Linked DNA regions of Nothobranchius furzeri. The protein of the gene in region 1 interacts with the protein of each later gene in a biochemical or structural test. Links are inferred from orthologs where the notes say so. Each region holds a gene or a part of one and is shown on either strand. Other genes may lie near its edges.

Region 1 (4,245 bases):
ACTCCTTTACCCAATCCATTCTCACGGAGCACCTGCTAACATTCTATGTGGATATTTGAAACGGTTGTGCCGATTTTATATCACAAGCCTTGATGCTCAAAACTAGCTTTATTTTGTTCCTGTAAAGAAAACTAGTTGTCCTTTTATGTTGCAATTATTTCATTTGCAGCTTCCACTTGGCTTCATTTCTACATAATGTAAAAAGTACCTTCTTGAGTCATATTAATACTTGTGGGGCTAAAACTGTGATTAAGTCCTGTAGTCTCAGGAAACATGAGGCGTGCTGACTCAGACCTGTCGCTGCCTATCCCGGGCCTGCAGGATTTTCCTCCGCAGCCACTGGCACCTCGCGGTCACTATGGCGATATGCCCCAAGACTCTCTCCTCCCTCTGTAAACAACACAACAGGAGATGAGAAAAAACATGTTTACCTTCCATGTGATTTTAATCAGCTACTTCAAAGCTTAACCTCCGTTTTTTCTTTTAACAATTAAGACCCACCTCGCCCAGAATGAACTCCACGTCACAGAACTGACGGTTCTCCCACAGTTTACCGTAATCCTCGTGGAGAGTGCACTTTGGGTAGCTTGAGAACTGCAATGTAAACATTTGAATGTGATCAGTTTTAGACCAAGTTGTCTAAAGAAAATTTACTTTCTTTGTAAACACTCACCTGGAATCTATACATCTCCCCACTGCGAACATTGTTATCCACAGTCCCTCCAAAGATGTACATGGCATCTTGGATCACAGCCGCAGCGTGGAAGAGCCTCCCGCTCGGCATCTGTAGGGTTCAAATTGGTTTTCAGGATGGAAACATCATGCAATGAGCATCAAATAGGACTACAAGCCCAAGTGAAATTATTGAAGGTTTTAGCGACAAAATCAAGAATCTCCTATACTCTAATCGATGAAGTATCTATAAACAGAACAATAATGATAAAGAAAATATAAGGAAAACCATTTTGGTTCATACTTCACTGTCAAAGCTGGGATGGATCACCTCCCAGGTCTGAGAGTCCACATCATAACAGTGCAGCTCATTGGGTAGCGTGTTATCAGCAGCACCTCCAAATACGTACAGGTGGCGGTCAAAGGCGACCATAGTGTGTCCGTAACGTCTCTGAGGAGGTGGAGGAGAGCCCCGCAGCAAGTGCTCCGTTGGGATCCGCGTCCACCTGAGAAGACGTTGGAGTCCTGTGTGACTTTATCCAACACACACACTACTTATGGTTTGACTCATCAGGAAAGGCAATGCTCACATGTGGCCTTTGAATTCAAACTGAAAGAGGTTATTAGTGATCTTGGCTCCACTCTGACCAGAAAACACAAACATCTTATCCCTGCACACCGCTACTGGGAAGTTGCAGCAGGATGGAGGAATTTCACCACTTTGAACAATCTGGCGGTGACAAAACCAAACAGAGAGATATAAAAACATGGATTCAGTCTTTCTGGATCTTTTGTTTTTGTCCATTTTAAATGTGTAGGTGAAGTTAACTAGCCTCTTCCCAGCATGCATGATCACGATCCTGCAGACTGATGGTCCACATGTCGTTTAGTCTACGTACACAGAACATAAACTTATTAGGAACGCAGAGATGAATGTGTAGATGTAAAAACAGAATGTTATCTCACACACCTGGCATTCCCGTCATAGCCAGCAAATATCCACAGCTTGTCGTTGTAGACTGTAGCTCCATGTGCAGATCTGGCCACCGGCAAGCTAAAACAGCCACAAGACTTGTACAAATCAGCTTCTATCCTCACAGTTAGCAAAAAAAAAATTGTTTGATTACATGGAGAGAAAATACACTTTAGACAATTTCACTCTCAAAATTAACATGAGCCCAGATACTGGTGCCAACTAATTTCATATACACAAAAAATAAATGAATATTACCTTCCTTCCACTTTCCATTCAGTCCATTGTCCTGTGGCAAACTTATACTCAAACAGGTCGTTCTTATTTTTTAGGTTTGAATTGGAATATATGTCTCCGGTGTAGCCCCCTGGAAAATAAAATACAGACACCATACTCGTTTATTTCAAAATAATCTAAGTTTTTGCAGTTTTTGCAGATCTAAAATCAGCCAACTTTACCAAAGACAAACATGCTGCTGCCATAGACCACAGCTGAGTGGTGATATCTGGGAGCAGGTGGAGTTCCAGTGGTGAAAGCTCTGTAAGGCACAGTTTTCCACTGGTGTTAAAGTCAGATTCTTGATTTAAAGCGTTTCTTTTGGTTGCTGCAGTCTTACCGACACCAAGAGCAGTCCTTCACATCGAAGCGGAGCAAATCATTCAGCATGTTCTTCCTGTAGGGTGCAACAGAGTTAGAACACATTTATGTATGCAAAAAATAAAAATAAAACACCCATCCCTGTCAACAAATTCTCACCCATTATCTCCTCCAAACACGTATATGGCGTCCCTGTATGCCACAACTGTGTGTTTGCTGCGCCTGTGTGAGGATGCAAAACACCCAGAATGAACAGGGGTCAACACGCAGTATGTCCTCTCATGTCTCTGATCTGACAGTTTGATACCTGGCACCAACAAACTCATCACACGGAGGAAGTCTTCTCCAACGATGGACAGTCTCAAACGGGCCAAAGTTGAGCGTCAAATATTCCACGCTGTCGGAGCAGCTGTGATCAAAATCAACACTCGGGGCGACTTTGGTTGATTTACAAGACATTTCGCTAACTCATCTGATCAAACTCAGGGCCACTCATCTGAAAGGACGCCCTCTGTTAGCGACATTTCTCTGTACAAATGAGCGTTTTATTTCTCTGCTAACGAGATTAAACGCGTGGAAAGAATAAATTGCGCTTTGTTAAAGGTAGAAACTGCGACCCAACTAACAATTAGCTACTAGCTATGCTCAGAGCTAGCCTCGGCTAGCTAGCTATCGTCACGCTATGCTACAAACAACTGAAAGGTTAGCTAGTAGCGGCTAAAGTTACACTAAAAGTTCCGTTTAACCGACTAAATACTTTTTCGATTCGAAATACTTATTTAATGATGTCTTAACGAAGGTACAACATCAGGACTACTGAAATAAAAGGACAGTTATCAGGATCAGATGTCAACCACGCCCCCGTAGCACCGGTGTTTTACCGAAAAATAGCAACCCCCGCAGAACTAGCTCGCCATACACATTGTAACAAGCCAAATAAAGTTGTGTCTTTCATTATATTAAAACACTGATTCTGAAGACTTAAAAAACTTTTACTGAACCCAGTAGTTAAAAAAGGCTAATGAAATGCGCTTCCGGTGATGGGGAACTTTACAAGGCAGGAGTGCCTTTTTCTGATACAACATCAGTGAAGATTCCACTTCCTGTATGTTAATTTCAGAAATGACAAAATAATAATAAAAAGAATAATTTCAGAAATGACTAAAATAGATGCCACATTTGTTGTATATATTTGTCAAGAAAAAATACAAAATTAGTAAATACATTTTAAAATTTCAAAAAATTTTGAAGATGACAATATTTTGCATCATAATAACCAATAGTTGAATTTTTCAAACTGATTGAATAATTTGTGGATTTTTCATTTATAAGTCCATATGAGGCTCATAAATCTAAAAGATCCATAAGATTTGTAATTAATCTGTATATTTTTGATTTGTGATCTTTTTCCAGTCAGATGTTCTTAATAAACATTAACACTCCTGGTATTATGCCTGCTACTGTTTATCCATATAATCATAATAGTACCCACCTGATGTCCTCAGCTGCATCCATAGCGAGTGTCATCTATTTTGCATACTTCATTTTACTTGTAAATAAGAGTTAATGTCTAACACAAAAACTGAAAAAATACTTTAATGGGTCAGAAGGGTACTTTTGTCACTATCCTTCCATGAACATTCTCGTACCTCAGTCAATGTCAACTCGTTCAGTCTGGCATTTTTCATCAAAGAACGAAAAATCACCAACATTCATGAACAATAAATCCAGACCCTGTTTGAGCCTCGGTTTACACGGTAATGGAGGGGTGGGGGATAGTGAGTTTTATAGAATTGTTTTAAACACATTCAAAAATACATTTCAGTAATTTCTTTAGAAATGTGATCACATAATATTTTACATAAAGATTATTGGGGGGAAATCAGAAAGAAGTCATTAAATGAAAGAACACAATCATTATTTAAATACTGAATAGTCTATGGAAAGGCTGAATGCACTGGTCAAATGAATAAAATGTTAAGTAGATGCAAAGTAAGGAGAAA
Region 2 (4,287 bases), on another chromosome or scaffold:
CAAATTACAGAGAGGTTTCTGTCAAAGCCCTTTTTCCATCACGCAGATGGCTGCCATCAATTGGATCCAACAGGAATAATTACAGACGAATCCAATGAGCTGCCATACTTTCAGATGCTATCTGGTGTCTGGGTAATTCATGGTAGAGCGCTAACCTGCCACAGCGTTTCAATAATTGATTGAAATCATGATGAGATTGTTCACACTGCATGTGGCTGGCACTGAGGAGCTTGGCCAGGAGCCAAGCATGAAAAGTCATTAAAAACCTGTTTGGTGTCTTTTTAAAACCCAAAACCAGTAAAGCCAGTTACAAGCTTTTAAAAAGAGTTTCTCATTATTTTTGCATCCCTGCTTCCTGACATGGAAGTGCAGTTAACAAGAACACACATTTATGTTTACCTCAATGGTGGGGTCGTATTCGTCCACAAAGTGGTTCTGGATGAGCTGGATAGTTAGCGCGCTCTTGCCCACACCACCAGCTCCCACTACAACCAGCTTATATTCTGTCATGTTTCACCTGCCGGACAAAATAAAGAATATTTGTCTCATTTGTACTCAAATGTTACAGCATTAACTCATTACAGTGTTCCTACATCTCTCCTCAAGTCAAATTTGGTCAACCATAGAGATTTCCCCGTACGTTCTTGTAGTGATTAAGTAATACAATTTATTTTAACTGTGCTAAACTTCCTCTTCGTATAAAATCAACGTTCATCTGAAGAACAGCAGTTACGCTCCGCTTTTATCACTGACAATGAGCGAAGAGGTAAATGTGTAAAACAACGTTTATGAATGGTGAAAGTTTTGTAACCGTTTGTTACAAATCAGTAAATGCATTTTGTCCTCACGGGCTCCCGTAGAAGGAAACATGGCATCGCCCAGAGCTTTAGACCCGCTCCCATGTATTTTAGACCCGATTTTTATTGTTATATGTTACAAAGCCGCCAATATTTTTCAACAACTCTGCATCATTTAATTAATTTTAAATAGCATTTTGATGGATATTTCCAGAGATTAATGGTAAAACTATACATGATCTCTTTCAATAATCATAAAAAGCTCTAAATTCTACATAAAAAGGGTTATTTTCAAGGGTTCCCCTCCAGCAGAATCTCTGATCCTGTTCCTGTCTGTTATTTTTGTCTGATAAACTGAAATCTGTGTGCTCCGGCCTGGCAGAAAAACATTGCTGATTCACTGGAAATTTTGATTTTACACAGTTGAGTTTTATGAAAGGTTATTTTAGTAATCAACTACAGCGCTTGAGGGGAGAACAAACCGTGAAATCACAACAAATGATCATTAATCAAACAGAGGTTAAGCTAAAATAAGGGAACACTTGTATTTTAATTAATCTGATTTCAGAAAACCATCAACTAAATGATAAAAAACCTATTTTTCTACACAAACTAAATTTGTATAATTACTGATCATTCTGGGGGGAAATACCAGACTCAAGATGAGAAATAATTGAGTAGAGAGCTAAAAAAAAAGGATTAGGAGAAAAACTTTGCCCATGTGATCAAGTCTCGGAATAAAAGAGCACAATGTGATCAAGTCTCAGAATAAAAGAGCACAATGACTGTCCCCTCTACAACTAAAACTAACCACAGGCATAAATCCATAATATTACATTAAAGCTTCAAAATTGACAAGCGGCTGTGAAGCTCTGGTGTGTGACTTCTTTGTGGATCGATGGCTGCAGCTGGCCTTTTCAGAAGTTACAGCGCAAACTGATGAAAGTCTGCAGAGCTCAGACAATGAAAACAACAAATAAGTTTTGTTTTGTTCTTTTAACCAGCAAGTTACAGATTTATATTAATGCAAATGAAGTGATGTTTTTAGATATCAATCAGAAAATAAACGTGTGGGAAAATGTTCATCTAAAGCATATTTTCACCTTTCAGAAAGTCTTGTGCAAATGCAACTGAACAGGGGTGCAAAAAGCTGAGCACAGCCTCGTCTAAAAAGCAGCAGGTAAGTCGTATAAGTCGTAAAGTTCACTTTCACCGCCTGAAACTGCAGGAAATTTTTTATGGTGCGGCTTTGAAAAACTGAAAGTTTATTCCAGGCGTCTGTGCCAGCATGGTGGAGTGGTTTCTTTTCTTAATACATCAACAACATTGGAGAACATGGCTCAATAGCTCAGCGCAGCCCCGATTGGAGGGCTAATGCGGGGATTGATTAGCAGCCATATAAACAAAAATGCTACTTGGAAAACAGTTTGCTACCTGTGAGGAATCAGAGGAAGTTCTTTAGTGACTTCAAGAAGGCAGGAGCCCCTAGGGTGCGCATAAAAGTGGAAAGGAGTTTGATTTAAATCTTCTATCCTTAATAGTTTAGAAGAAAACGTCCTCGGTACTTCAGGCGACTTTGCTGATGTTAGCTAGCTTAGCATCGGAGATCGCTCATTCACACTTAATTACTGTTAAAAAATAAAGTCTTGCGCACTTTCCCGTTGTGTTTTATAATTAAAAAAAGGCTAGCCGATATTATTGTTCTGTCAGCTCAGTGTGTCTGAGCCGAGTCTGTCATCCATTCAAACGGGAAGAGAAGCCGCTATCGACAAGCTAGCTAAAGCTCTGCAATGTAGGGCCAGACGGTAGGTTAACTGGGCGTAGTTTAGCCAAAAACGAACATGTTTGACTACAGGGAGGCTGCCCAGTGTTTCAATAACGCATAATAACTTAGTTTTATTAGACAGTGAAATTCCGCAAAGGCTACATGCTAAAGTCTGCCATTAATGCGTCTTATGCGCTTGTTTTACCTTTTAGCGAGTGAAGTTCCGCGTCTGAAGTAGCGACCAAAGAAGTCAAGCAGATAATCCTCTCGCTTCACACGATCTCTGCATTTCCTACTTCTCACCAAAAAGCCCGCATTCGAGTCGGTCTAGCGTGGTTTCGGGAGCAACCGGGAGCATGCAGAGGGGGAAGGAAAATAAATAAAGTGGGCGAATTAATCGATTGAACTTTCCATCTGATCTGATGAGATCCAGCTTCCCCTCGGCCTAGCCGCTGCTGCTCAGTGTGGCCTGCTGCGTTACGCGAATATGGGCGGATACCAGGGCTTACTTTACCCAGAAACCATAGCTGTGGATTTCAACCGGCCTGGGTCAAATCACTCAAGCGTGTGTCGCAATACGATCCCGAAAATACGCTCGTTTCTTTTATTATTACCCATATGTTGATAAGATCCTCGTCATATCAAACTATGCCCATTCTCCAACTCCCATATCTCAAGTAAACCGGTGTTTTCTTTTTGTTGCATCTAAACTAAAACCAAACGGAATGTTTGTGCTTGCATTTTTATTAAAATCGGACAACACTGATAGGTTTCAGGTCACGTAGAGTGGGTTTCGTGTCCTCCAGCGAGACCCGCTGCTACCGCTGCAGCGCGCCGCAGAGTCAACAAAGCCTACGGGGCGACTCCACTATATATAGGCTCTAAATATAACTGGAATGTGCTGGAGGATGGACGTCATTCCCAAGCAAGGAAATGATTTGGCAATCCCCCGTCAGTTTTCCTACGTGCTCACTGGCGCTGCTGCTGCGCTGCACACATGCATAAATAAACAGTACGCTTGTAAAAAAGCGCAGACTTCTGATCCAGAGGGCACAAACGGCATTAAAGCGCCGAAATTGGATTTCTGTGTCAATAAAATCTGTTTTAAGCATTTAAGAAGGATCTTTGCAAACAAAAGGACCCAGCTGCTTAAACTGAGCCGCTCACAAAGACTAACCAGTAAAATTATAAAATTATATATTTTTTATGTATCTGAGGCAACTAAAAATGTTATAAGTTAGAATCAGGTCTAAATTTAGACTTATTTGGATTGATCAAGCTTTAGAAACCATGGCAGACAATGGTAAATGCATTATTATTATTTTGAATAAATTATCTTCCATCCTAAAAAATTACAGCATGAACATCTGTTTTGTTTTGGGGATTACAAGAAGGTGCTGCAAAGATGGGCTAGACCTGCTGAATAAAATTACCAACAGCTGCCTCTCCTCATTGGAGGGCATTTCCTCCAGCAGATGCACAATCAGAGCAAAGACAATGGAGGATCTCATTAGCACAGAACTGTTCACCCTCTTTCTTCAGACAGAAGGTTGGTCTTCCTCAACAAGACTAAAGAAATGATAAACGACCCACATTGTGTAGCACCTTTCAGAGTCAGAGGACTCCAAAGTGCTTTACTTTGGAAAAGATGTTTAAGTGGGGTCAAATTATTGGTATGCATCATGCAGAGAAAACATCTAAGGAGAAATGACTTAAGATTGGGTT

The links.
Region 2: the proteins of lztr1 (region 1) and kras form a complex in vitro, tested with the Homo sapiens proteins (2 studies listed by BioGRID, with this or other methods). The link is inferred for Nothobranchius furzeri from reciprocal best matches to the Homo sapiens genes LZTR1 and KRAS.

Annotation. Positions count from the first base shown.
Region 1 is NC_091757.1:45,256,723-45,260,967, forward strand, and holds the start of lztr1 (leucine-zipper-like transcriptional regulator 1), read right to left. Parts: upstream 2,926-4,245; 5' UTR 2,702-2,925; coding exon 2,550-2,701; intron 2,465-2,549; coding exon 2,402-2,464; intron 2,319-2,401; coding exon 2,262-2,318; intron 2,184-2,261; coding exon 2,104-2,183; intron 2,013-2,103; coding exon 1,904-2,012; intron 1,727-1,903; coding exon 1,643-1,726; intron 1,564-1,642; coding exon 1,506-1,563; intron 1,403-1,505; coding exon 1,263-1,402; intron 1,179-1,262; coding exon 977-1,178; intron 785-976; coding exon 674-784; intron 595-673; coding exon 502-594; intron 391-501; coding exon 295-390; intron 1-294. UniProt on the Homo sapiens protein: Substrate-specific adapter of a BCR (BTB-CUL3-RBX1) E3 ubiquitin-protein ligase complex that mediates ubiquitination of Ras (K-Ras/KRAS, N-Ras/NRAS and H-Ras/HRAS).
Region 2 is NC_091744.1:73,814,963-73,819,249, reverse strand, and holds the start of kras (GTPase KRas), read right to left. Parts: upstream 3,024-4,287; 5' UTR 2,768-3,023; intron 518-2,767; 5' UTR 511-517; coding exon 400-510; intron 1-399. UniProt on the Homo sapiens protein: Ras proteins bind GDP/GTP and possess intrinsic GTPase activity. Plays an important role in the regulation of cell proliferation.